Oryctolagus cuniculus: one gene and its partners. The protein of the gene in region 3 purifies or fractionates together with the protein of the main gene of each other region. This does not show direct contact. Links are inferred from orthologs where the notes say so. Each region holds a gene or a part of one and is shown on either strand. Other genes may lie near its edges. The genes, in order: ELAVL1, G3BP1, TRIM21, ANXA2, FASN, IRF3 and GMPS.

The links.
Region 1: the proteins of TRIM21 (region 3) and ELAVL1 purify together in Homo sapiens (affinity purification with western blotting; 3 studies listed by BioGRID, with this or other methods). This does not show direct contact. The link is inferred for Oryctolagus cuniculus from reciprocal best matches to the Homo sapiens genes TRIM21 and ELAVL1.
Region 2: the proteins of TRIM21 (region 3) and G3BP1 purify together in Homo sapiens (affinity purification with mass spectrometry; 3 studies listed by BioGRID, with this or other methods). This does not show direct contact. The link is inferred for Oryctolagus cuniculus from reciprocal best matches to the Homo sapiens genes TRIM21 and G3BP1.
Region 4: the proteins of TRIM21 (region 3) and ANXA2 purify together in Homo sapiens (affinity purification with western blotting; 3 studies listed by BioGRID, with this or other methods). This does not show direct contact. The link is inferred for Oryctolagus cuniculus from reciprocal best matches to the Homo sapiens genes TRIM21 and ANXA2.
Region 5: the proteins of TRIM21 (region 3) and FASN purify together in Homo sapiens (affinity purification with western blotting; 3 studies listed by BioGRID, with this or other methods). This does not show direct contact. The link is inferred for Oryctolagus cuniculus from reciprocal best matches to the Homo sapiens genes TRIM21 and FASN.
Region 6: the proteins of TRIM21 (region 3) and IRF3 purify together in Homo sapiens (affinity purification with western blotting; 3 studies listed by BioGRID, with this or other methods). This does not show direct contact. The link is inferred for Oryctolagus cuniculus from reciprocal best matches to the Homo sapiens genes TRIM21 and IRF3.
Region 7: the proteins of TRIM21 (region 3) and GMPS purify together in Homo sapiens (affinity purification with western blotting; 3 studies listed by BioGRID). This does not show direct contact. The link is inferred for Oryctolagus cuniculus from reciprocal best matches to the Homo sapiens genes TRIM21 and GMPS.

What each region holds. Positions count from the first base shown.
Region 1 is NW_027208201.1:4,186,157-4,190,307, forward strand, and holds the start of ELAVL1 (ELAV-like protein 1), read right to left. Parts: upstream 2,801-4,151; 5' UTR 2,663-2,800; coding exon 2,511-2,662; intron 937-2,510; coding exon 835-936; intron 1-834. UniProt on the Homo sapiens protein: RNA-binding protein that binds to the 3'-UTR region of mRNAs and increases their stability.
Region 2 is NC_091437.1:38,749,060-38,753,097, forward strand, and holds the start of G3BP1 (ras GTPase-activating protein-binding protein 1), read left to right. Parts: upstream 1-1,238; 5' UTR 1,239-4,038. UniProt on the Homo sapiens protein: Protein involved in various processes, such as stress granule formation and innate immunity. Plays an essential role in stress granule formation.
Region 3 is NC_091432.1:62,646,944-62,650,161, reverse strand, and holds the end of TRIM21 (E3 ubiquitin-protein ligase TRIM21), read right to left. Parts: intron 2,262-3,218; coding exon 2,161-2,261; intron 1,857-2,160; coding exon 1,309-1,856; 3' UTR 501-1,308; downstream 1-500. UniProt on the Homo sapiens protein: E3 ubiquitin-protein ligase whose activity is dependent on E2 enzymes, UBE2D1, UBE2D2, UBE2E1 and UBE2E2.
Region 4 is NC_091443.1:83,261,075-83,263,369, forward strand, and holds the end of ANXA2 (annexin A2), read right to left. Parts: intron 1,974-2,295; coding exon 1,851-1,973; intron 853-1,850; coding exon 793-852; 3' UTR 501-792; downstream 1-500. UniProt on the Homo sapiens protein: Calcium-regulated membrane-binding protein whose affinity for calcium is greatly enhanced by anionic phospholipids. It binds two calcium ions with high affinity. May be involved in heat-stress response.
Region 5 is NC_091448.1:881,253-884,752, reverse strand, and holds part of FASN (fatty acid synthase), read right to left. Parts: coding exon 3,395-3,500; intron 3,314-3,394; coding exon 3,141-3,313; intron 3,066-3,140; coding exon 2,874-3,065; intron 2,790-2,873; coding exon 2,709-2,789; intron 2,630-2,708; coding exon 2,450-2,629; intron 2,372-2,449; coding exon 2,192-2,371; intron 2,105-2,191; coding exon 1,901-2,104; intron 1,721-1,900; coding exon 1,416-1,720; intron 1,162-1,415; coding exon 772-1,161; intron 703-771; coding exon 538-702; intron 462-537; coding exon 343-461; intron 265-342; coding exon 110-264; intron 4-109; coding exon 1-3. UniProt on the Homo sapiens protein: Fatty acid synthetase is a multifunctional enzyme that catalyzes the de novo biosynthesis of long-chain saturated fatty acids starting from acetyl-CoA and malonyl-CoA in the presence of NADPH.
Region 6 is NC_091449.1:7,838,213-7,842,437, reverse strand, and holds the start of IRF3 (interferon regulatory factor 3), read right to left. Parts: upstream 2,801-4,225; 5' UTR 2,685-2,800; coding exon 2,648-2,684; exon of another isoform or gene 2,353-2,647; intron 2,315-2,352; exon of another isoform or gene 2,171-2,314; coding exon of another isoform or gene 2,034-2,170; coding exon 1,861-2,033; intron 1,351-1,860; coding exon 1,182-1,350; intron 1,100-1,181; coding exon 1,047-1,099; intron 777-1,046; coding exon 497-776; intron 414-496; coding exon 33-413; intron 1-32. Other genes in the region: BCL2L12 (bcl-2-like protein 12), read left to right, coding at 3,410-3,516, 3,641-3,783.
Region 7 is NC_091435.1:125,038,502-125,042,001, forward strand, and holds part of GMPS (GMP synthase [glutamine-hydrolyzing]), read right to left. Parts: intron 3,479-3,500; coding exon 3,363-3,478; intron 1-3,362. UniProt on the Homo sapiens protein: Catalyzes the conversion of xanthine monophosphate (XMP) to GMP in the presence of glutamine and ATP through an adenyl-XMP intermediate.

The DNA of each region.
Region 1 (4,151 bases), on a different chromosome or scaffold from region 3:
CTGGGTGGAGGACGACAGGCGAGCATGGGCGTGAACGGCCCTGCAGTGCAGACGCAGCTACTACCTGTGGCCCCTTCCCTGCTAATGATATGCTTGCTTGCCCACTCACATACTGAAGTGCTCCTTCTGGGGCTTTCTGGCTTCTCTCAGTGACTGACTCGCTTCCAGGGTCACACTCAGACCCAGAGTCAGCCAGTCTTCTCTCCCTCATGTTCCACACCTCCAAACCCATGAGCCCTGTGTCCTTCCCCCCAGTGTCCCCTCTCTGTCTCAGCACTGCAGCCCTGGATCACATCACCAGCTTTCTGGACCTAAAGCAAGGGTGGGCAATGTCTAGCCCAAGGGCTGTATAAGGCCTGTGAAACCATTTGATCTGACCCTGCCAAGGCAACCACAGGTGGGACTTGAAATCCAATAGTCTATAGCAGGCTAATTTTTAAGTTGATAACTTTGTATTGCTTGTGAATATTATAAACATCTAAATGGACCTTTGTGGGGGGAAAAAAAGGTCCCTCACCCATGCTCTAAAGGAAACCAACTGTCCCCTAATTGGTTTTCTGACGTTGAGCTCTGCCCACCTCCAGCTTTTTCTGGGCGGGACAAAGCTCTCTGTGTGCAGAATGACTCCCTCTGTGACCAACACTGCTCAGTAGTGTCCCAGGCCTGCCACAGAGGGTGGCAGCCAAACCCTCTGCCCGCAAGTGGCAGCAGTAGCCCCGCCACGGCTCCCTTCACCCTTCCTGCCCTAAAGTCCCAGACCCTATGTGTACCTGGACAAGCTGAGACAGGCCCCATCCATGCCCAAGCCCCTCCCCCTGGCTAACTCCTCCTCACCTCTCTCTCTTCATCTCCTCCAGCAGGCAGTCTGGGCTGTCTGTGCCCACCTCGGCTTGGGTTAACAGCTCCCTCTTCTGTGGCCTCTGTGTCAGCCAGAGCCTAATTGTCACAGCATTGGCTAGTGAGCTGAGATGATCCACACACACACACACACAGTGTACATCATCATCTCCCCAGAGCCTAGCACAGGGCCCAGGACGCAGTGGCACAGGGAAAGTTATTCAAAGGAGAGAAACAAGACTCACTTCCCCTCTACCCGCTGGTTTCCTTGTCTTCTGACCCACAGCCTCCTGTCGGGCCTGCCGTTTCAGGCCTGCCACCTAGGGGCGGAAGGAGGGCACTGCGCTTCTCTCACCATTCAGCGGTGAATTCCATAAATTGAATGGGAAGGGCAAGTTGATGCCGGTGCGGGGCGAAGGAACGGGGAGTGGGCTCTGAGCTGGGGCATGGAGCACAAGGAAGTGATCCTTAGCTGGAAGACAGTGGCATCTCCCAGGCAGAGAGCGCGACAGCAGGGAGGCCTGGACTCTGGGGCACTGGTACAATGATGTCAGGAAGGGAGGGAGGGCTGAGTGTGAAAGAACAGGCAGCCAAGCCTAAGGAGCCCTGATTTTTATCCTTTAAGTCACCTGAAGAGGCCAAGAAAATTTGTTTTTCAGGTCAAAAATTTGCAATCAGGAGTGGCACTGCCGGACCTGCCCTGACAGAAGACAGTTGGCAAGGGAGTGTGGAAAGCCAACTTTGCTAGACATGGCAGCAGGGAGCAAGAACAGCCGCGAAGCAAGCAGCAGAAGCCAGGAATTTCTTAACCGGCTCATTTTCCCCTTGCTGCGCTATGGCCTCAGACTCAACACAGCTAAAGTAAAACTCTGCTCCCTCAAAACCAGTGCTTCAACCTCAACACAATTTCCTTGCACACTTAGAGATGTTAGGCTTCTCAGTCTCTCCATGGACCTCAAAATGGTAGTTTTAAAGCAGGTATCAGGCCAGAGCTTGGCCTGTGGCGGTTCGATGACAGCTGAATGGAATCCCCAGAAACACCACCTGCTGGGCCCCTGTGGTTAAGATTGAGTCTGAGAGCCTGAATTCAAACCCCACCTTGGCCACATTAGCAGAAGAGCACATCAGGCCACGCAGCTGAACCTCGGTTTCTGCATCTCTAAAATGGAAATTACAACAGCACCTACCTGGAGGGCTGGAGTCAAGCACAGTCAGTTCTCAATAAACCCTGGCGCTGACTCCTGCCAGGCGCCAGGCCACGCACAACGCTAGGGGGGCCAGCACCATACCGCCTTCCTCACTATTCTGTAGCTAAAGCCCAACACAGTTCATCTCAAGGTCTTGGGAACACCTCTCAAAGGATCAGAGAGAGGGCTGGAGGAACTTTTCCTGGAAGATCAGACACTTTAGTGAGACAGCAAGAGAGACCCCACCCCCTGGGGGGGAAGGCATCTGGCAATGTCTGGAGACATTTTGGATGCTTGCGCTGGGGGAGGGGAGAGGCGGGGTCGCTAAAGGGTAAAAGCCAGGGATGCTCTCAACTCCCCACAACGCACAGAGCAGCCCCGGCCAACCAAGACCTGACCCCAACCATCCCGAGTGCGGACGCTGCGGAGTCAATCCCATCCCCATTTCTGGAACACTGGCCGTCCAAATCCCACGTGAGGACTCACTCAGCGGGAGATGCGGCGGCGGCTCTGTCCCTCCAGGGACGGCCGTGCCCAAGTTCCTCTCCACCTGCCGGGCACACAGTAGGTATCAAAGACCGTTTTAATAAGCCTCGCCACAGCGGGCACCGGAAAAGGAGGGACGAGCATCCATCCATTGTTCAACTGCGTGCAGTTTCGTGTTCTAAACACACACACATTTTACAAAAACAAACGTCCCACGCCCCACGAACAGCTTTGTTAAGAGATGGCGCTCAAAAAAAATACGTTTTTTCCGCCTCAAGGGCTCCCCTGCAGATCAAGGGGTTTGCACACTTATAAAAGGGCCGCGGGCCGGCCGCCGGTCCTCTGACAACGGCCACAAAAGAATCTGTGGGATTTCCCAGGGGAGCGAGCCGGTGGGCCGTGACCTCTGCGCGCTCAAAGCGTTCTCCTCACTCCCCCGCCCCCGGATCCCGGGCTTCCAAGGCTACCGGAGCCGCGGCCGCGGAGCCCGGCCCCCAGGCGCGTGCCCACGCCGCGTTCCCCTCGCGGCGCCCCAGGAATCCGGCCCGGGGCCTGCCGCCGGCGCCCACATTGGCCAGCCCCCGCCCGCCCCGCCCGGCGCGGCCCGCGCGCGTCCCCTCCAGGCCCCGGCGCGGCCTGGGCCTCGACCGGTGCAGGCCCGCGGGCGCCCGCGGCCAGGCCAGGCCAAGCGAGCGCAGGCCTGCCGCGGCCTACCCTGCCGGGCGCCTCCAAAAGCCCCCCTGCTTCACCTGGTCGCGGGCGGGCGGGCCCGGGGCTGCTCCGGGACGTGCGGGCGGCGGCTGCGGCGAGGCGCTAACGGCTCCGCTCGGCCTCGGTAGCGGTGGCGGCGGCGGCAGCGACGGCGACGGCGGCGGCTCCTCCTCAGCGCGCACGACCCGCTCCGGCCCGCGGCCCGGACACGCCCCCCCGGCGCGCGCGCCTATTGGTCTGCGTCCGCCACGGCGCGCCGCTCATTGGCAGGCTTGGCTGTCGCTGCGCTCCGGGGCGCGCGGAGGAGGCGGGACTTCCGGTAGGCGCCGCCTGCGAAGGCTCAGAGGCCGGCGGAGACGCGGGTGGCCAGCGATGGCCGCGAAGGGGGCGAGTAGGGGCCTAGCCCAGGAGGCCGACTCGAGGTGGTGGGCGAGGAGCGGCGTTCCTTGTCGAGCACTTGCCTTGTGCCTCACACCTGTCTGCCTCGCTGCAGCTGCCGCCCAGCAAGGTAGGAAGGGTCGGCGGGCCTTGGCTGTGGGGAGAAGACCCGGGTTCGAATCCCGGCCCGGACGTTGCCCACTGCTGCCGTTGGCCAGGGGCTGACGTCACCTCGCCAGGCCTCAGTTTCCTGATCTTGCACGGTGGGGAGGCGGGACAAGGGAAGTGGTGAAGTGCTCCAGCAGGGCTGGCTGTTAGGGCCTCACGTTTCTTCACTTAAGTTGTACTGAGCACCTGCTGTGTGTGCCAGTCCCTGTAGGGGCAGTGAGTGGACAAAAATGCATGCTATGAGAAAACCATGCATGGATTTCAAGACATTTCGCGCCAAAATAAACTTACCTCTCAATTCCACTTTCCCACCTCTTGTTTTGAGATACCCCCTGTATGCAAGTCACAGAGGATAATTAAAAAAAAATTTTTTTTCCAATAGCT
Region 2 (4,038 bases), on a different chromosome or scaffold from region 3:
GGCCGGCGGGCTGACCACAGCCCGCCCAACGATCGCTCCTCGGCGGCAGTGCCGCGGGCCAAGTCGGACCGGAGCCCGCGTGGGGCGCGCGTCCTCCCGCCCAGCGGCCGTCGCCACCTGCCGCCTAGCCACGGGCTCCGGCGTTCCCAACGGGCGCGCCTCGCCGGCAGTGCTGACTCACGGGAAGGGCCAGCAAGTGCCCTCAGGCAGCGCGCGGACATGAAAGAGTTTGATAAGGAGAAGAATTAAATTCAGGGAAACTTTGCCACTTGGCTTCCTGGGTGCCAGACTGTGCGGAAAAGGCGGGAGAGGGAGACCCCAGGGGCCGGACCCAACAACCGAAAGAAAGAGGACAGAAGCCGGAGCCCGGCCCGCCTCTTAATCGCCCCGGAGGGCAAGGCCGCCCTGAGCCTCGGTCTCTTTGGAGAGCGGTTCAACCCCCATGTCAATCAGCTCATTCCGGTGTTGCCATTGGCCAGGTGCTTCCATGGCCTCCAAGTTGCCCACCTCCTAGTTGCTTGGGGTTTACTTCCCCAAAGTACACGGGCCCCACCTTGTGGAGCAACCGCTCCTGCACGGAAAACGGGTCTCCACCCAGGGGATGGAGTGCTAGCCAATGAGAGCATCTCCAAGCATTTATTGGCTACTATGGGTATCAGTCAAAGAATTTCCCACCCTCCTCTCTACTATGCCTTCCAGTTACTGGGCCCTTTGAGTGCCAATCCGTTACTAGGGAAACGAGATCTTCACAGTCTCATAGGTATGTGTCAAAGCCAATCAAGAGCCACGCCCCCATCATGAGGCAGTATCCAATTGCTGTTCGAAGAGCCCAGAGGATGCAGTCGGGATTGGTCATCCACTCGCCTGGCCTGGCTGCAACAAGTTAGGCTGAGTCGCGATTATATAGACCGGCGGCGGAGCACGCGTGTGTGCGGACGCAGTTGCGTGAGCGATTTCTGCTTCTCTCCGTGCGGTGGAGCAAGGCTTGTTCCTCTCCCACTCAGCCGCGCAGGTACGCCGGGGTGTGGGCGGGGCAGGGTACTGGAGGACGGGGACGAGTCGGGGCGACGGCGGGAGAGAGGAGAAACCCGAGGAGCTGCCGCGCGGGGCGCGTCCCCCCACCCCCACCCCAACGGCCGCAGGCGCGCGCGGCGGGCGTTCGGGCGCGCGGCGCCGCCTCCCCCCCCCCCCCCCCCCCACCGGCTGGAGCGCGTGGCCGCGTCCGCCGCGCGCGCGTCCAACGGCCACGCGGGGCAAGAGCAGCCGGTGGCGGCGGCCCTCCGAGTCCCGGCGTGACCTCCCGGGCCCGGGGTCCCCGCGTTGCCCGGGAGCGTGTGCGGCTGGCTTTGCGCGCCGGCCCCCGCCACGCGCCATCGGGGGCTTTCTTGGAGGGGACAGCACGAAAGTGCCATGAGAGAGAGTCTCGGAGCTGGCAAAGCAGAAGTGCCGCGCCTTGGTGGCGCCTGCGGGGACGGGGGAGATGCGCGGTCCTCCCCGCCCGCACGGTGCCGAGCGGGGTGTCTGCCCGGAGAGCTGGGTGCCGTCGCGGCCGCCTTTCGAATAGGAGAGGCACGAAGGCACAGGCCCACGGGCGGAAGGGCGGGTAGGGTGGCTCGCTGGCTCCGGGCCCCTGAGCCGGTGCGAGTCCAGGGCACCTTTGCCCCGGGAGCACTTGTCCCTTCGCAAGGCCCCTGCGCGGAGCGCGGCCGGGCCTGAGTGCGCATGGGCTTGCAGGGGCTCGGGTTGGGAGTGGGGCTGCGACAAAGGGAAGGGGTGTTTGGGCTTCGTGCCTGCACGTATTCGTACCGTTGCAGCTTCAGAGAAAATTAGAGGGGCGGGGGGACCGAGTAAAATGCAGATAAGTGCGTGTGTTCCTCATCGGGCTTTAAGCTCTCAGCATTGTGATGGGAAAGTCCCGCCAGCGGGAAGTGAGGCTGTGATTCGACTTTTCCCTTTTTTGTTTAAATCAGCCGATTTTCGGGGAAAAAAAGGGACGTCTAAGAAAATCAGTTGCCGAAAATGAGGTCCAGAGCAGTGAGATTCGAATGTCCCCAGCACCTGTGGGTTGAAATTAGAAATTGGAGTGGAGGACATAGCACCGGTTACAATGTAACCGTGATCCTGCGGGGGTTCTGTGGCTGAGAGGCGCACTGTCGGTATTGGAAGTGTGTCTGCAGGGTTCAGTCCGCAAGGCTCCAGGGTGTGTGCAAGGTCGTGGAAGAAACCTTCCTTACCATCAAGGACTGGAGTTTATTTTTACAGCAGTGTTCTCATATTGTGGACTATTGAAAGCTAGTAATGCCTTGGTCTCGTGAAATGTTTTTAATGTTGCAGGCCCGTATCATTCATTTTGCATCGCAAATACCTGAACTTCAGGCAGAACTAAAAAAAGTTTGAAGATTAGCTCTTTGGACTAATTTTTTTTCTTGAAAGGCTTTTCACTGTTTTGTTTTTCAGTAAAGCTTGTTTCTACAGATCCTTTTTCAGATCTTTAAGGGATTTTTTTGCTGTCAAAGCAGACACAACGTGCATCCTTGTGCAGGGATTAACAATTACGAAGTTTAATATTTGTGTTTCTCTACGACAGGCGCTTTCCCTGTTTCTTAACAGAAGGTAGCAATAAAGGATCAAAATAATTGTAGGGACAAGTTCTTCCTTTGTTGGTGTTGCTATAAATAACACGTTGCTTTAAAATGTAACATTGTTTTATTTGCAGCGTGCTTTGTGTAGCAATTCCAGTTACCTGCATTTGTAGCATGTTAAGATTTAAGGTGAACCATTTAAATCGCCTGATGTTCAAACATGATAATGACGTACATTTAAACAGAGTTCAGTGAACATTATTGCTTGAGGTAAAATAAATATATCAGAATGAAATGATCTTACGTATTGAGGAAAATTTTGTAAATTTTACCTTCAAATACTAAAAAAGTTGTTCTTGACCTCAGGCAAGAAGTGGTCTTGTTGGTCTGGAATACTATGTGATTATTTTGCAAATCAGTACCCCAGCTGCTGATTTGTGCCTTTTATCTAGTACTGGTAAACTGAAGAAATTGTGATAACACAATACCTGTGTCTCCCCACTTCTGGATCAAGGTATAGGTTACTTTTCTTGGAGTTGAGTCCTTTCAGTCTAAGCTTTGTACCTCTTCTCACAGGTAGAAAAGTATGTGGGTCATTGTTTAACTCTTAGCTGGTAGGTGGGGTGGGGGCGACATTGGGAGATTTTGATTTTGTTTGTGACCCGTGTTAATTTATCTTTTGGGTTTTCAAAATTTATTTCAGTACTTTATTTAGGAAGTAAAGAACACAGATTAGTTTTAAATTTTCATAGATTTGTGATGGTGTTGAAATTTCATATAAGACCAATTACTAAAATAAGTATTTTTGTCATAATAAAACTGCATACTTGATCTTTTAACATTTTTGCACAATAGTTTTTTTTTTAATTACAGAATTCAAATAGGTACTGTATCTGTATATATGTAATTACATTGTGCTTTTTGACTTCCTTGGACAGAATTGTATTGACTTTACAAAGGAGGACAATTATCAAAGTACATTTGTCAAAAAAAAAAAAGTCCTTCCACCCCCCACCACTAGTCAGCTGAGGGAAACCTGTACTGTCCTTCCAAGTCCTGGAGTTAAATTTAGATTCAGCAACTGTAATCTCACTCACAGTTAGGGATCACATTGTGGCTGTTAACCAGCTTTATATCTTTTTGAAAAGTCAGCTTTCTCGTTGACCCTTCTTTTGTGAAGCGTTCTTACACACCACTGGGGCCTCACTGGGAAGGCTAAATTGCAAGCCAGGTGGTCGTGTGGTGAGCTAGGAGTAGTCCACATACGAAGAATGAAGAGTCTGCCTGACAGAGCAGAAATCAGTTAACATTTTTTTCATCACAGGCTGTGATCTAGTAAATAAGGTTGTTTTTTATAATATTGCATAGCTTTTTAGTATGTTTGCTGTACTTCAGCATTCTGTGAAAAGTAAAGATTAAAAATGTTTCAGAGAAAAATCTGACTTCCTGGGTGAGA
Region 3 (3,218 bases):
TTAGTGGAGGCCATATGTGTTCCCCTGGAAAAGCCAGAAAAACTTGCCCAAGAAAGGGGGAATTTCAGAGAGGAATGATAGCAAACTTGGATGTCCCAGGAGGAGTAGAAGTGTTCCATTTTCCAGGAAGAACGCTGAGAGCTGAGGGCACCCGAGCCTTCACCCTCTATCAGTGACATTCACTGGTCAACCAAGAACATGGACAGAAGCATCTCAGGTCTTTCAGAGATACAGAGAACAGTACCAGCTCTGAGAGCACTTTGTTTCAAACCCAGGAGTTCCCTCTATGTGAAGGGCACCTGCCCTCGGGCAGTGACTGCAATCTCAAAATGCCTTCTATTATCACAGTGGCCACTTGGAGATCAAGAGAGGAAACTCTTACTGGTATCTTCTGCCCAAGACCAAATAATCCAGATGCAGAAGTAGGGAGGGCAGCCCAGGCAGGAAAAAATGTGCAACATTAGATATCTAAGCATACTTTAAAGTTTGTAAAAAAAAAATGGAGTTAAGATACATTTATTTTGGTGCAAAAATTGAAATCCATGCATACTTTTCATATGTATTTTCCATGAACATTTTGAAGGAATGTTGTATATCACTATTAATCAGAGTTGTCAAATATTTCAGGTTTAAGGAACAAGGGCAGAATACAACACAACTGTTTTTAGGAAGCTATTTTACAAACCACCCACAGTATAACAGAGCTCTGACCTAAGATAATAACCTGAAGATGGAGAGGCTAAAACAGGATTTTTTTTTAAAGGTTTATTTACTTGAAAGAGAGTGAGCAAGCTTCTATTTGCTGGTTCACTACCTAAATGGCCGCAATAACTAGAGCTGGGTCAGGCCGAAGCCAGGAGATTTGTCTGGGTCTCCCACATGGGTGCAGGGGCCCAAGGACTTGGCCCTCTTCCACTGCTTCCCCGGACACATTAGCTGGGAGCTGGACTGGAAGTGGAGAAACCAGGATTTGAACTGTGGCTTAACCTTCTATGCTACAGTGCTGTCCCCTAGGACAGAACTTCAGCGACATAAAGGAGGTGGAAACTGGTTCAGGTGAGTTTGGGCTAAATCTGCAGTTTGCTTCACTGGAGGGAATCGGCAATTTAAAGCAGAAATACCCACTTGATATTGGCTTTCAGTGACCTCCCACCCCTGCTAACAACTGCTTCCTGGGATCCCAACACCTCTGCAGAGGCAAAAGTGTCTCAAGCGTTCATGGGCAAAAGAGGCAGGGGCTGCTGCTGGGAGGGGCCCCAATGGGACGAGGGTGTCCATGAAGAGCCCTCAGTAATTGGCGAGTCCAGACTATGCCATCTTCAGTGGACAGAGAGTGAGAGGAGCTCCATTTTTTCCATCATCATTGAAACCAGGACTGAAGAAGGGCCGCAGAGGTCCAGCAAAGTCACAGTCAGAGAAGGTGTAGATCAGGGACCCATGGTCAGTGACATTGTAGAAGGAAACAGTGCTGGCCTCATAGTCCAGGAAGATCCCAACTTGGTATGGAGGTACCCGAAGGTGGAGGGGGGTTGGGGAACAGGTGCCAGCCTCATATTGTTTTACTTTCCACAGCCAAATTGTCCAGAAGCCTCTCTCAGTGTTGAGCACAAAATTCCCCTTCCTCTGCACCGAGGCTCTGCAGACTCCCAGGTCCCAGGCCCTCTTTCCCCTCACACTGACTTCCCAGTAATGCTTTCCAGAGTTGAAGTGCTGGGCACCGAGGACCATTGGATAATTATCAAATCTCTCTTCATTTTTTGGCACATCCTGCCAGGTGTTTGCAAGCCTCACTTGTCTCAGGTCCTCTGAGATGATGAGCTGTGGATTGGCCGTTTGTGGATCCAGAGTGATGTGTACTGCAGAGAGAGCACCACGGTCAGGCCTGGGGTGTGGGAAGTCCTCAGCCTGTGCCTGTAGCAAGGGGATCTGTGTCAATTCCAGGAGGAGGACGAGCGGCCGACCTCCTCAGGTGAGGAACTGACTTCCAGCGAGCCCTGGCCTTGCCCTGGCCTTTGAAGGGATTACCTTCTCTACTCCTATCTCTCCCCCACCTGCCATCTCTCCTCCATACTGCTGTCCATCCTCCCCCATCCTGGGTCTACTCCACACTTTCATCATTCCCATCTGCCCCACACCCACAACTCCCAGAGCTCGCCTCACCGCCACACGTCCTCAGCATCTTCTTCAGCCCCGGCACATGGCACACACTCCTCAGGTCTGGTGAGATGACTTTCAGCTCCTCCAGGCTCCAGGACTCACTCCTGGGGAAAGAGTTTCAGACTCGTCTTCCACTCCTATTACCTACCCGCTCCCCCACCCCAACCATAACACTATGACTTCCTTGGGGATTGTGATAGTTAAGTACAAAACTTATAATTGCCTCTGGGAAGTAGGAATGAGAGGCAAAAATTTCCAGGATTTATCCAGAAATTCCTAGTTATGAAAGTCTTTGCAGCATGTGTCTTCTCTCATGCTTACTTGGTGACCTTGGGCTCCATCTTATCTTACAGGCAAGGTGTCTGATACAGGCTGAATCACATCTATGAGAAGCCTCAAGGAGTCTGGCCATGCTGTAGGTCTGTCTTACAGCTCTTTCGAGGTAGTTTATAACTGGTGTAACTGCTTCTAAAAAAGCAGACCCAGCAGGCTAGAGAAATTCCTAGCCTTTCCCCAGTTGTTGGGGATTTGCTCTGTGAAGATATTATAGCCCAAATCCTCTGGGAAACTTGGCAACTGAGCTATCCATTTGTTAGCCTTCTGAAACCAGAAAGTGCTTAATAGAGGATCTCCTTGAGAACAGGGAGGCAAGCACGGGAAAGTCCAGGGCATGTTTTTCTACCTTTGCCACCCTCTCAGAGGCATATATGATCATATTGCCCCCTCTTTTATTTATTTTATTTTTTAACTTTTATTTAATGAATATAAATTTCCAAAGTACAGCTTATGGATTACAATGGCTTCCCCCCCATAATGTCCCTCCCACCCGCAACCCTCCCCTTTCCCACTCCCTCTCCCCTTCCATTCACATCAAGATTCATTTTCGATTCTCTTTATATACAGAAGATCAGTTTAGCATACATTAAGTGAAGATTTCAACAGTTTGCTTCCACACAGAAACATAAAGTGAAAAATACTGTTTGAGTGCTAGTTATAGCATTAAATCTCAATGTACAGCACACTGAGGACAAAGATCCTACATGAGGAGTAAGTGCACAGTG
Region 4 (2,295 bases), on a different chromosome or scaffold from region 3:
CCCCGTACCACAGTACTGGCCCTGAAGGTGAGTTCCTGAGGGTGGGGCAGGATGTGCCTAGTGATGTACCCCGATATTTGTAATATTTGCTCAACAGAAGCAGCAGCCACTGATGTTGCTTCACCTACTTTACCTGTAGAAGCACGAGCAGTCGAGACGGCCGTGGGACTTCCTTTCCCCACAGTCCCTCCATCCCCTGGGGGTGCAGTGCTCCCAACAGAACTTCCTATGGCCTTGGAAGCATTCTGTACCCACACGGCCCACACGCAGGGGCTTAGCTAGCATTTGAAACGTGAGTACAGCAGGACTGTAGGACTAAACTCTGAATTCAACTTCATTTCAATGCATTTAAATAACCTCCCCGGACAGTGCCCACTGCACCAGCTGGCTGTGTTCCAGAACTTTCTTCCCCTGGCGACGGCCCTACCCATTGAACAACACGATCCTGGGAGAGTGATTTTCAAAGAACTCAATGGAAAGCAAGGCCAACACAATACTGGTTTTTAAAGTAAAAATTCAGTTTATTGTTGACACAGTGCCCAAGAGGCAAAGTGTTTCACATCACAGACTTCACTTCCAACTCCTTGGAATGTTCTTTTCTTTGGCTTAAAGGAGAGACTAGAGGGCAGAGCCGGGCAACGCTCAGGCAACTAAAGTAAGGTTGGGGCTGGGGGCGGCACCAGCCCCACCTGCATGGGGCGGGCACGGGGTCTGTTAGCTGCAAGCTGGTTTTCTAGCACTGTTAGCAGGCATTAGGTGTGGCACGGCTGGTGGGCACTCCTGCGGGGGGCTTCAGTCGTCTCCACCACACAGGTACAGCAATGCTTTCTGGTAGTCACCCTTGGTGTCTTGCTACAAATGGCCAAAGAGAAAAAAAATAAATCAAGTGAAAGACCCAACTCTGCAACAAAAAGAAATATCTGGGCATCCCCCACATACAGTGGAGCATGGCCCAGGGCCAGCACAGGGGAGGGTCTGTAGGTCCTGGCCCAGCACAGGGGCCCTGGAGACCAAGCCCAACGCCTGGGGCCTGGCCAGCCATCCCCCAGGGAGGCATCTGAGTCCCACCACACTGCGAAGGTGGAGGGGTGGAGTGCTCTTCCTGCACAGGGGTCCTGAGACCTCCCCCCTTTCCTCCTCGCCCTCTCTCTTCCACACAGGACAAGGGTACCTTTCCTGCCTCATTCTTTGCTTCATGGATTCTCAAGGTCAAGTGGATATAAGCTGGGGAGGTGAGGAAACATCTCCTGAGACCCCAGCTGGTCCCTCCAGTTTAGCCCTGCCCCTGACAGCTTGGGGATATACCCATTCCGCCTCCAGACTCATCCATGGCACCCATGGACATGGCTTTGGAAACTTCCAAGGCTTTCAGAACAGACCCCGGATTGCAGAGCCGGTCTGAACCTCCCCCGACCAAGCAATCCCGCTCTGCAAACACAGTCACTCCTTCTATAGGAACATCCCATCCCACCGTCCCACCAGCAGGGACAGACCCTGAACTGATGGGGACATGAGAGCGCAGGTGGTCAGGCTTGCCATGGAGGGCTGTGCACCAAGCACACGCACCACGGAGCCAAAGTCACGACCAATCTTCTAAGTCTTAAGGATGTCGGCGATCATCATCATGAACAAGGATGATGGTGACAGGATGACAAAGGCAGGAGATAGATTTTTTTTTGCCTGATTCTACAAGGCCCTGGGGCAGGTCATCAACAGTGCTTCCAAAATAAATCCCTGACTTCTCCTGACCAGCAGCTCCACCCCTCAGGGAAGGAGAAGCCAGAAAATCCTGATTCTGCCAGCCTCTGCCCGGGCCACCCGCCGGGGCACCCCGGCACCTGGTGCCTCACCTGGATGTAGGAGTACAGGGACTTGCCGTACTTCCTCTTGAACTCCGACCTGATCTTCAGCATGTCCACTTCACTGCGGGAGACCATGATTCTGATCAGGACCTTGTCGCGAGTCCCCTTGCCCTGAAAGTGCAAGGGACGACACGGGGTGAACTCACTGACAACACCACCACAAACACAGCCTGGGAGGTTTCTCTGGAGCCCAGGACTGCACGGTTCTTGATGTCGTGCTCTGAGAGAGACCGCAAACACAACAGTGAAAGTACTCCTTTCTGGAGACCAGGAGCACCTCGGCGTTCCAGGCGCAGCAGGATTTAACAAGCACAGCGTCCCATGTATGGGGGCACTGGTTCGAGTCCTGGCTGCTCTGCTTCTCGTCCAGCTCCCTGCTGAAGGACCTGGCAAGGCAGCAGGAGATGACCCAAGTACTTGGGCCCCTGCCACC
Region 5 (3,500 bases), on a different chromosome or scaffold from region 3:
TGTCTGGGGGCGGCAGGAGCGAGGCTGCCACGGGCCTCCTGGCCGGGGTCCCCATCCTCCTGCTCAGCCCGCCCCTCAGGCAGGGAGCCCGCGAGGGCCGGGGGCTCACCCTGCTCCAGCGGGAAGTGGCGGAAGGCGCCCCAGGCCCCGTCCCGATGCACGTTCATCACCAGGTCCCCCCGCAGCACCTCCCGCAGCTCCGCGGACTCGGGGCCCAGGGCAGGCGCGGGCGACTTGCTGCTGAGGTTGGACAGCAGGACGCACCTGTGGGCGGCAGGGTGTGAGGGCCGTGGGGGCGGGGCCGTGGGGGCGGGCGTGGCGTGGGGGGCGGGCGTCTCTCACCGAATCCGGTGCCCGCCGGGCTCTTTGCGGAGGCAGTTCACCAGGCCCACGACGCCCGAGGTGGCGCAGTCCACAGCCGTCAGCCACACGGGCCGGGAGGAGTCCTCGGCCAGCACGTCCTGCGGGACAAGGCGGGGTTGGCCTCTGGGAGGGCCACGGGCTGTGCTGGGTGGGGGCCCAGGCCCAGGCCCAGACCTTCAGAGAGTCCACCCATCGGAAGCTGGCGTCCTCCACGGGCAGGAAGATGGGGCTGTCCTGGGGGCTGGGCCGGCGGCACAGGAACAGGGCGGAGCCGTAGAAGGAGGTCTTCAGGCCCACGACGTGCAGCGCCGCCTCCGCGAACAGGCGCTCCCACTCGTCCTGCGGGGGGCGGGGTCAGCGCCGGCTGGCCTGGCCCCGGCCCCCCCCCAGCCTGGCCCCGGGTCCCACCTTGGTCAGGAGGCTCGGCCCACGCTGAGGCTCGGAAGAGGCGAGGAAGGCCAGGGTCTCGCCGAGGGCGTGTCCCCGCAGCAGGGTGTGCAGCAGTAGGAAGCCGCCTTCCTTGACGGCGGCCGCCATGTTGCGCAGGGCGGAGGCCGGGTCCCCGAGGCTGGCCACGGCACAGTTGCACACCAGGAGGTTGGCTGTGCCCAGGCTGCCGGGAGCAGGGCCCGCGGGGTCCCACTGGGCCTGGCCGACGTCTCGCTGCTGCAGCTGCGCCTCGGCCGCCTGCAGGGCCTGGCTGTCGCGGTCGGTGGCGGTGTACTCCAGCTGCAGCATGGGCTGCGTGTTGAGCAGCTCTGGGATGCGGGCATACAGGTGGCCCTCCCCGGCCAGCACCTGGCATGGAGGCAGCTTCCTGAGCCAGCGACCCTGCTGGCCACCCTGCCTGCCTGCTCTCCTCAGGGTCCCCTGCCCGGAGCCCCAGGCCCCTTGCACGCCCGCACCCCAGCTCTGGCCCTGCCTGCCTGCCGTGCCGGGGTGTCTTCCGGCCGCAGCGCAGCGCGCCGGAGCAGGTGCAGCACGTGTGTCCTCACAGAGGCTGCCCTGGCCCTGGGCTCCCTGGCACGGCCCGTTGCTGGCCCAGCACCCACCTCCACCACCTTCATCCTGAGGCTGGGCAGGTTCTCCAGGGCTGTGTCCACGCAGGCCTTGAGCGCCGGAGAGTCCAGGAGGCCGCTGAGCAGCGGGTCCTCGGGCAGCCCCGGCCGCTCCCGGGCCAGCGCCTGGCCCAGCTCCCGCTGCAGGCTGCCGTTGAGCTGCAACTGGCAGGCGGTCGCCAGCAGGCGGGGCAGGGCCTGCTGAGGGGGCTCCTGGGGGGCCGGGGACCCGTCCAGCCCCGGCACGGCCATTTTCAGCCCCTGCTGGGCCACCCTGGTCTGCAGCACCTGCGCCAGCCCTGGGAGAAGAGACAGACCGATGCCCCCAGAGCCCGCCTGTGGGCCTCCCTGCAGGACAGGCACACAGCGGACAGCCCGGAACGGCCACTGCCTGCCTCCCCCAGGGCGTGTGCGGGTGGGGGCACAGCCAGGGAGGGGCTGAGTGTGTCCTCTGCCCCCGCTCGGTCAGCGGGCCTCACCCTTGCACAGCTGCAGCTCCTCCTGCAGGGCGGCGCTCTCCGACAGGCAGGCGCCCTCCACGTGGGGCACGAAGCAGAACTTCTCCAGGGTGGGCACCAGCTGTTCCTGCTGCCGCCGGGGGGCCGCGGAGGTGTGGAGGCCGGCGATGTGGGCTCCGCCGGCCACGATGGTGCCCAGACAGCTGTCCACCACCACGTCCGCCGCTGCGGGGACAGGCGGGTGAGCCCAGGGCCCCCCGGGGGCGCGGGGCAGGGTGTGGGGCGGACGCGGGCGGGGCGGGGCAGGGGTACCTCGGGCCTCGCCCTGCAGCGCATACACCTTGCGCAGGTGGGTGGCGGGGTCGATACGCAGGAGCGTGAAGCGCGTGGGCAGGCGCAGGCTGCGCTGGCTGTGGCCCAGGATGGACACTTGCAGCATGGCGTCCAGGAAGGTCACCCAGCTGTCCTTCCACAGCAGCTGGCCGGAGGTGCCTGCAGCAGAGGGGCCGGGCGCCACATGGTCTCTGAGCCCCTCTGCAGCCCGGCCAGGGCACCCGGAGCCCAGCCCACCTTCGAGGCTGGCCTCGACGACACCCTGGAAGTGGGGGCCGTAGTCGTAGCCACGCAGCCGCAGCTCCTTGTACACGTCGCCCTGGGTCAGCCGGAAGGCGGCAGAGGCGTCCGCGGGACTCAGGCCTTCTGGGCGCTCGAAGAGCTCGGGGTTCGGGTCCTCCCACTGGTATATCTTCCCTGCGGGTGGGCGGCAGACGGGCCTGAGTGGGCTGGGGCAGGGCCGTCCAGCTGTGCCCCGAGCTGGGACCCCACTCACCGCTCACGATCAGGTTGCCGTTCTCAGACACCTCAAAGGCACGGGAGGCCTCCAGGAGCCGCACCTCCAGCGGCACGGTCCCTGTGGAGCAGCGGAGTCAGGTTCAAAGGTCAGAGGTCAGCGGGCCCCGCCCCTCAGTGCCCCAGCCTCTGCCAGGGGCCTCACCAGTCTTGGGCAGGATGGTGGCCTGGTGCAGGGTCACGTCCTCGAACACCACGGCCATCTGCTCCATGGCCAGGCCCAGGCTGCGAGCCAGGGTCTTCCAGGCCAGGCACAGGTAGCCGGTGCCGGGGAAGATGACGCGGCCGTCAATGCGGTGGTCCACCAGGTAGTGGTCGGGGGACTCGGGGCTGGCGTCTGCGGGCAGGCACAGGTCTCAGAACCAGCGCACCAGGGCCCAGCCGCAGCTCCCCAGCGCGGGGCCCGGCTCACCGATGTTGTAGACGGTGGCGGAGGAGGAACTGGAGCCATTCGGGAAGTCCTCGGCGGCGGGCACGTCCCAGCTCTGGCTGTGGTCCCACTTGATGTGGGGGGAGATGAGAGGGGTCCCTCGGGGGGCCGGGAACTCCACCGGCGGGAACAGGGCGTTGGGGTCGACGTCGATGCTGCCAAGGGGACGGGGGCGTGAGCGGCTGGCCCGGCCTGCTCGGGGGCTCTCGGGGGCGGGCGGGCGGGCGGGGACCTACCCGGTGAGGTGCAGCTTGCCCAGGCTGGTAAGCAGGAACTCCAGGTTGTCCCTGTGGTCTTTCTTCATCAGGGGCAGGATGGTGCAGCTGGACTTGAGGCCCCGCT
Region 6 (4,225 bases), on a different chromosome or scaffold from region 3:
CCCGTGCTCGCCTCAGCCCGTCGCCCGCTCACCTGCCACGAAGGGCCCCAGCTCGAACACGCTTCCGTCCTGGTCCTTGGGGACCTCGCCGGCGGGCCCGTGCCCGCTGTTGGGGAGCAGCTCCTCCCCCACGGCCCAGTAGGTGTGGCAGTGCCCCAGCCGCCGGGCACAGAGCCGAGGCCCCAGCTGCCACAGGGCCAGTCCCCCCTCCAGGCTCTGGAGCACGCGTCGCACGTAGCAGCTCACGCTCCCGTCAGACAGGGCCGTCCCGGGGTCCGGCAGGGCAACCGGCTGCCCCGGCAGCGTCCTGGCTGCGGCTTCCGGGCCCACGAGCCGCAGGCCTCCTGGGCAGCAGATGGTCTGCTGGAAGACCTGGCGGCCCCGGTAGAAGGCGGTCACCTCGAACTCCCACTCTGCGGGGCGGCGTGAAGGGCGGGGAGAGAGTGAGGCCCGGAGCCCTGGCCGCGGCCCCTCCCGCCCCTCCGCGGGCACTTACGTTCCTCGGGCACCAGCAGCTGCCTCAGTGGGTTTTCAGGGGGTGCGGGGTGCGGGCAGGGGCCGGGGTGGTCCAGGTGAGGGCTCAGCAAGAGCTGAGGGCAGCACTCAGGGGCCACAGCCCCAGCCCAGGGCCCCTCGTCCGGGCCGGCCGCCAGGCCCATGTCGCCCAGGAGCTGCTCCAGCTCGTCTTCCTGGAGGGACAGACGGAGCTGGGCGCCGCGGCCCTTCCTGGGGACTTCAGCCACGCGGGGACCCCTCGGCCCTCCACGAGCTCCAGGCTGGGGGAGACGCAGCCGCGCCCCTGAGCGCCTGGCAGACGGGGGTCTCAGAGGGGGCGTGTCCCTGGCACAGCAGCAAGGGAGGGGGAGGGGGAGGGGTTGAGGTCTCAAGAGGCTGAGGGCGCCATTATCCGAGGAAAGCTATGAAATCCTGGCAGGGTGGGGTGGGCGCTCCGATGCCCGAGGCTGCCGGACAGCCACAGGGGGCTGGGAGCCGGGGGGGGGGGGGGTGAGGCCAGGCCAGGACGACGGGGAGGGGTGCATGCTCACCTGGCTCTCAGAGGTACTGTCCCCCTGAACTTCGGGAGAGATGTCCCCAGCTCCTGTTGAGAAAGGCGATGGTGGCGGAGGGGTGCTGGGCACCGGACATCCCGGCCCTCCGTGGGGAACCCTGCTCTGGCACACCTGAGGTCACAAACTCGTAGACCTTGTGCGGGTCGTGAGGGTCCTTGCTCCGGTCCTCAGCTAAACGCACCACTTCCTTCCGGTTTAGGGCGGACCGGAAGTTCCTCTTCCAGGTTGGCAGGTCGGGCCTATCCCCGGGAGTATAGGCGCCGCTGGCCTCTGCCCAGGCCTAGGGCACCAGCGGTGCCGGGACACCAGGGAGGAGGATGAGACCCTGCCCTGGGGTCCTCACTTCACACAAGGCTCGCCCCCACTGCAGCCTCTGGCGCCCGGGTTCCATCCCGATTCTCGGATTCCCCACGTGCCCAGCTTCCCTATAATCCAGCCTCACCCCTACACCCTGCCTGCAGCTGTCAAACCCACTGATTCCCACACCAGCCTTCCGGGCCCCGCTGGTGTCTCCCTGCCTCTGCGGGTCCCAGGACAGCCTCAGCTCCGCCCCCGACGCTGTGTATCCTAAGCTGGTGGTTAGGAACCCCAGCTTTGGCCACTCCCAGAATTCAACAATCAAAGCCAGACTCAGCCGGCACCAGAATGCGTTTCCTTGGGGCTCTGGCCCTGATAACTGGAACCGGGCCGCTCCCACACTGCCTGCTCCCCAGCACCAGCCCCCCCACACCCGTCGCCTTAGGAGCAGGTGCCACAGGGCCAAGCCCCTCCCAGCCGAGCACGCGCGCACCTGGAAGATGCCGAAGTCCTGCGGCTGCGCATCCTGCCGCAGCCCGTGCTTCCAAGGTATCCGGAAGCGCTTCCGGTGCTCGTCCACCCACGACACGCCCTCCAGCTGCCCCAGGTCCAGCTGCTGGATCAGCCAGGGCAGGATCCGCGGCTTCTGCGTCCCCATGCTCCCGCCTGCGCGGACAGGGAGGTTCCTGGGCGTGGGCCCTCTCCTGCCCTACCTGGCCCAGGACTTCCACACCCAGGCTCCCTCCACGGGTCGCAGCGTCCCGTAATCGCCTGGTGTACAAACAGGGGGCCTCCTCTCCCATCCTCCGGAAAGACTCCCTGATTCAGCGAGGATTCCAGCCCAGACACACTGTAGACACCCAGCCTCCACGCCCTCGCCTCGGCCAGTGTAGACCTCCCCCTTTTCCTGATCCAAAGCCGGCATCCCCGATTCCACCGCGCTGTGGGCCGCCTTCCACGGTTCCCCCACGAGGGAGCCCCCTACCCGTTTCCAGCGCCGATGCTCGGGCACGACCCCCCGCCCCCGCCAGCGCGCGCGCCCCTCTCCACTCTGGAATGAACTCTTCCGCGTTACGGTCGGGGCGCGCAGGGTGGACGCCCACCGGCCCTGGGCTCCGGGTAGCTCTCAAGCTCGAACTTGCGCAGCTTGTGTCCTGTCAGCTGAGCTTTAGCGCGCCGGGGCTGTCTTTCCTATCGATCTCTTGAAATAAAAGCAATTTCAACATCCTCTAGGTAACAAGTTCCAAAGCCAAAGAGGCCGCCTGCAGCCCAGAGCGTACCCGTCTCGCCCCTTTTCGGTCTTCCGGCCACAGGCATGCTGGGAACGTCATATGCAAATCAGGCGGCACTCAGCGCCCCGCCCCTTCCACGTTGGGGGCGGTTACCCAACCGGCCCAGTGCGCAGGCGCGGGAAAGTTGACCTACTAGAAAAGTTTGTGTGACTTGAGGGAGGCGGCTGCGGCAGCGGGGCGCTGGGCCAGGTGAGTGGGGTGTTGTCCTTGGCTGGGATAAAGTGTGAATCGGGCCGGGACCCTGGAGCGGTACCTCAGCGCCGCTTCTCCGATGTCCCAGGGCCGGGGGTCCCCAACGTGCCAGCGTGGTGGTCGGAACTACATCTCCCAGCAGGCTTCGTGGCAAACACTCCCTTCGCCCCGCGCTCGCCCTCTGCGGGGCCTGCTGGGATTGGTAGTTCCCGGTCCCTTAAGGACGGCTAAGCTTGGCATATGCTAACTTCAGCATGCACGAGAAAGCCCCCTTCCCCTCGCGGACCCCGGAGTCCGGGCCCCCAGCCCCCTCCTCCCTTGGATCTAGGAATCCCAGCCCCGGGCCCCTCCTTTTCCGGGATAAAGCAGTTGGTTCTCATCGCACTTTTCCCTCTGGGGGACTCAAGAGTTTGGGTCCCTCAACCCTGAACCCTCCCCGAGGCCCTCAGCGCCTTCCTCCCTTTGGGGCCCAGGACTCCTGGGCCTCTCTTCATTCAGGGACGGGGGGCTTGGGCCCCAGCCGCCAGCTCCTCAGCCTCCCCTCCCCCAGGTGCCTCCATGGCGGGCTCGGAGGAGCTGGGGCTCCGCGAGGACACGCTGAGGGTCCTGGCTGCCTTCCTCAGGAGGGGCGAGGCTGCCGAGGCCCCCAGCCCCACCCCTCCCAGGTAAGAGGGACCCCCTCTCGCTCTCAGTCCGTCTTTGTCCAGCGAGGGAGAGATCCTCAGTGGGCAGGAACGAGGGACTGTCCCCAGGGGCCCCCCGGGGTCACTCTGAGGTCCCCCTCCCCAGGAACCCCGCCCCGGAGGAGCCGACAGACTTCCTGAGCCGCCTCCGCAGATGTCTTCCGTGCCCCCTGGGGCGAGCAGCCGCCCCCCCTGAGTCCCCTCGGCCTTCCTCCCTGCCCCTCCGCCCCTGCTATGGCTCGGAGCCGGGTAAGCCCTTCCTGACCGCAGGCAGGATGCGGTCCTAGTGCCGGGTTCCGGCTCCGCCCCCCAGTTCTCCGGGTGGACAGCGGGAGCGATCGCGGCCCCCCTGCACCTCTCCCGGTCCACATGGGTCTCGCCCTGTTGGACTGTGCAGCCCCCAGCACCTCCGACAGGGAGGCCGGAGCCCTGGACGCTTTGGCTGCGCAGCCGTGTGACCGTTCCCTTCCTGGTCCAGTGCGGCAGAGGTGGTGCGCAGCCATCCACCTTGCGCCGGCGCGGCCGGCAGAGCTGTGGTCGGTGAGCCCGGACAGCTGGGCGACGCGTGCTGGGATCAGTCCGCAGGTCCCGAGGTGCCCGGGACGAGAAGGGCTTCCCATCTGGGAAGTTTTCTGGATTGTGGAATATTGGTACAAACGTTACTGGTGGCCCATCCACAATCTGGAATCTA
Region 7 (3,500 bases), on a different chromosome or scaffold from region 3:
CCACTGAAATACGACTTAGTATCCTTCCACCTCTCTCCCATGGAATGACTCACTACTGCTTTTAAGCAAACATTTATCTGTAAGATATGAAGATGCACTGCAAATACTACTAAAAGTAGGGTTTGGAATATAACTTGAGGACATGAAGATCAATTAAGAAAATTCAAACTTGAGATGAATTTTGTCCCTGATTGGAGAGATCTGTTTCACAATCTTCACCCCAATAATAAGAGGGAGCCAGGGGAGATTTAGGAGTGCTACCTAGCTTTCTCTATTCTTACCTCCAGCCAGTAGACAACTGTCCCTTTTCCTTAACCCTATTATTAGAAGGGCAAATAAGTCTTTCCTAGTAACTACCATGGTAAAGTTTAATGTTTTTTTTCTTTCTTACTAAGTACTTGGAATGAAATATATACAAAATAAAACAGCATTAGCTCAACACCAGCACTATCACCAATTACTTGATTGCCTCCTTCCAAACATACTGTAACAGAGGAAGGTTCCTATCCCAGGCATGGAAATTCAGGCATGCTTCTTCTAAAGACACATGCAGTTCCTACAGCTCATAAATGATCCTTCACGAGATTAGATAATGATTACTTCAAGAGAATGCCATGCATCTGCTCTTTTTGCCTTTAAAACAAGAATGATCACTAGGGAACAAATAGTCATGCACATTGAAAAGGACATTTAACTGGAAGAGTCCCTCTCTGTACAAAGATTCTCTCAACTCTATTAAGAGGGAAAATGGGAAAAGTTCTAACTTCCAAAAGATTCTGGGCAAAAACAAATCTACAACCTTTCCACTAAGATTTTTGAAGAGATTGCTAGGTTCATATTTTTAAATCCATCCTTTTTTGCTGGTTATTAGGCTTTGTTTTCTTTTTTGAGGAGGGAGTATGGGATGGGGGAATGAAAATGGAAGGCAAAAAAGAGGCAAATAATCATATAAAAGATCAGAAATAAAAATCTGAACAAAGGAAGTACCTTTTGGCTAAACTAAAAGAAATAAAACTGTAAGAATGTAAAATGAAAATCATGCTATCATATAATTAAAATTTAGTTAAACTTAGGGAAGGAAACTTTCTGTATGACATGCAAAGTTTATACAGTAAAATTAACATTCTTCAGAAGATGAATCAAGAATCACTTTTTTAACAAAGACAATTATTTCCATCAAAAATGGGCAATTACAAATTGACCATTTTGTACAATATATTTTTTTTCAGTACATGAAACATGCTTCTGCATTAGATCCACTAAGTCTTTTAATAGGCATGTTCTCATCAGTAAAAACTTGGTTTCCCTGTGTCTCCTTTTCTCTAACTACACAGACTCTACTAGGTTAATAATAACAGATAGGTTTCTAATTTCTGCAGCATATGTGAATAAAATGAGATCTTTTTTTTTTTTATTTTTTTTTTTATTTTTTTTATTTTTTTGACAGGCAGAGTGGACAGTGAGAGAGAGAGACAGAGAGAGAAAGGTCTTCCTTTGCCGTTGGTTCACCCTCCAATGGCCGCCGCTGCAGCCGGCGCACCGTGCTGATCCGATGGCAGGAGCCAGGATCCAGGTGCTTTTCCTGGTCTCCCATGGGATGCAGGGCCCAAGCACCTGGGCCATCCTCCACTGCACTCCCTGGCCATAGCAGAGAGCTGGCCTGGAAGAGGGGCAACCGGGACAGAATCCAGCGCCCCAACCGGGACTAGAACCCGGTGTGCCGGCGCCGCAAGGTAAAATGAGATCTTAAGTAATTCTTTTTGGCTTTTTAACTACTTAACAACTATTAAAAACTGAAGAGGGTAAGCAACTGTGAAAAAAGAATAATTTGCAATCTGGTACTAAACAAGAAAGATTTTTTAACTGTATATGGGCCAATAGAATGAAGTATCAGGAAAAGATTATGAACCAGCTGTTATACCCAACATAAGCAATTAATGAACAAGTTAAATTGGATTTGAAACTGTGTAAGTAACCTGTAAACACAGGTACTTCAATACTATCTGGCATCTACTTATTTCTTTGACTTTCTCTGGGAATACTATTTAAATTTATCTCTATTTTGAATTCTATGATCTGTATAAATTTCTGTCAATCCTCAGGCATAAAACTTATTATAAAACTATTAGCTAACATAAGTCACTTATTTAAAATACATATTTCAAAGCTGTCTTTAATATTTTTATACCAGGGCCAGCATTATGGCCCAGTGGGCTAAGCTAACGTCTGTGATGCTAGCATCCCACATGAGTATCAGATCAAGTCCCAGCTGCTCCACTTCTGATCCAGCTCATAGCTAATGCACCTGGGAAAGCAGCAGAAGATGCCCCAAGTGCTTGGCCCACTGCCACCGACATCACACACCTGGGTAGATCCAGGCTCCTGGCTTCAACCTGGCCCAGCCCCAGCCCCAGCTGTTGTGTCCATTTGAGTAGTGAACAAGATCTTTCCCTCTCTCTAACTCTGCCTTTCAAGGAAAATAACCAATTTTTAAAAAACAGATTGTGATGAAAGATCAAATACAAAATGATATTAAATATCTGATTAACTATGTTCAAAGTGCGTATCTGAACTGTAAATGGAGTGATTCACTCTTATAAAATATCATCTAATTATATCTACACTTAAGCCTCTGGGTCTCTCATTAACGGAAGAACTTAAAAAATCAAATCCTTGGGGCCTGCGCTGTGGAATAACGGGTTAAAGCCCCAGCCTGCAGTGCCAGCATCTTATATGGGTGCCAGTTCAAGTCCCAGCTGCTCCTCTTCCAATCTAGCTCTCTGCTATGGCCTAGGGAAAGCAGTAAAAGATGGCCCAAGTCCTTGGGCCCCTGCACCCACGTGGAAAATCCAGAAGCAGCTCCTCGCTCCTGGGTTTGGATCAGCTCAGTTCTGGCCGCTGCAGTCATTTGTCGAGTGTACCAGCAGAATGGAGACCTCTCTCCTTTTCTCTGGCTCTACCTCTCTCTGTAACTGTCTTTCAAATAAATAAGAAAACAAATCCTTGGGGCTGGCGTTATGGTGTAGTGAATAAAAACAACTGTGATGCCGGCATCACATATGGGCACCAGTTCATGTCTCAGCTACCCCACTTCTAATCCAGCTCCCTGCTAAAGGCATAAGGAAAGTAGCAGAAGATGGCCCAAGTGCTTAGGTCCTGGCTATCCACATGGAAGACCCAGATGAAGCTCCTGGTTCTTGGCTCTGGCCTGGCCCATCATTGGCCATTATGACCATCTGGGTAGTCAACCAGCAGATTACAGATCTCTATGTCCCTCCTTCTAACTCTTTCAAATAAATAAATCTTAAAAATGAAAATTCCTTCCATTACACTCATACACCTCCCATTTCCTACAGACACACCTGTTAATATTGTGACACATGCGAGGTATAAGCCTCGCCAAGAAAATAAGAGATTCCCAGTCAGGCTCATCTTTACTGGAGATTCCACACACATAACTGTAGGAACGACAGTCACCCTGAAAACAGAAATATAATCAA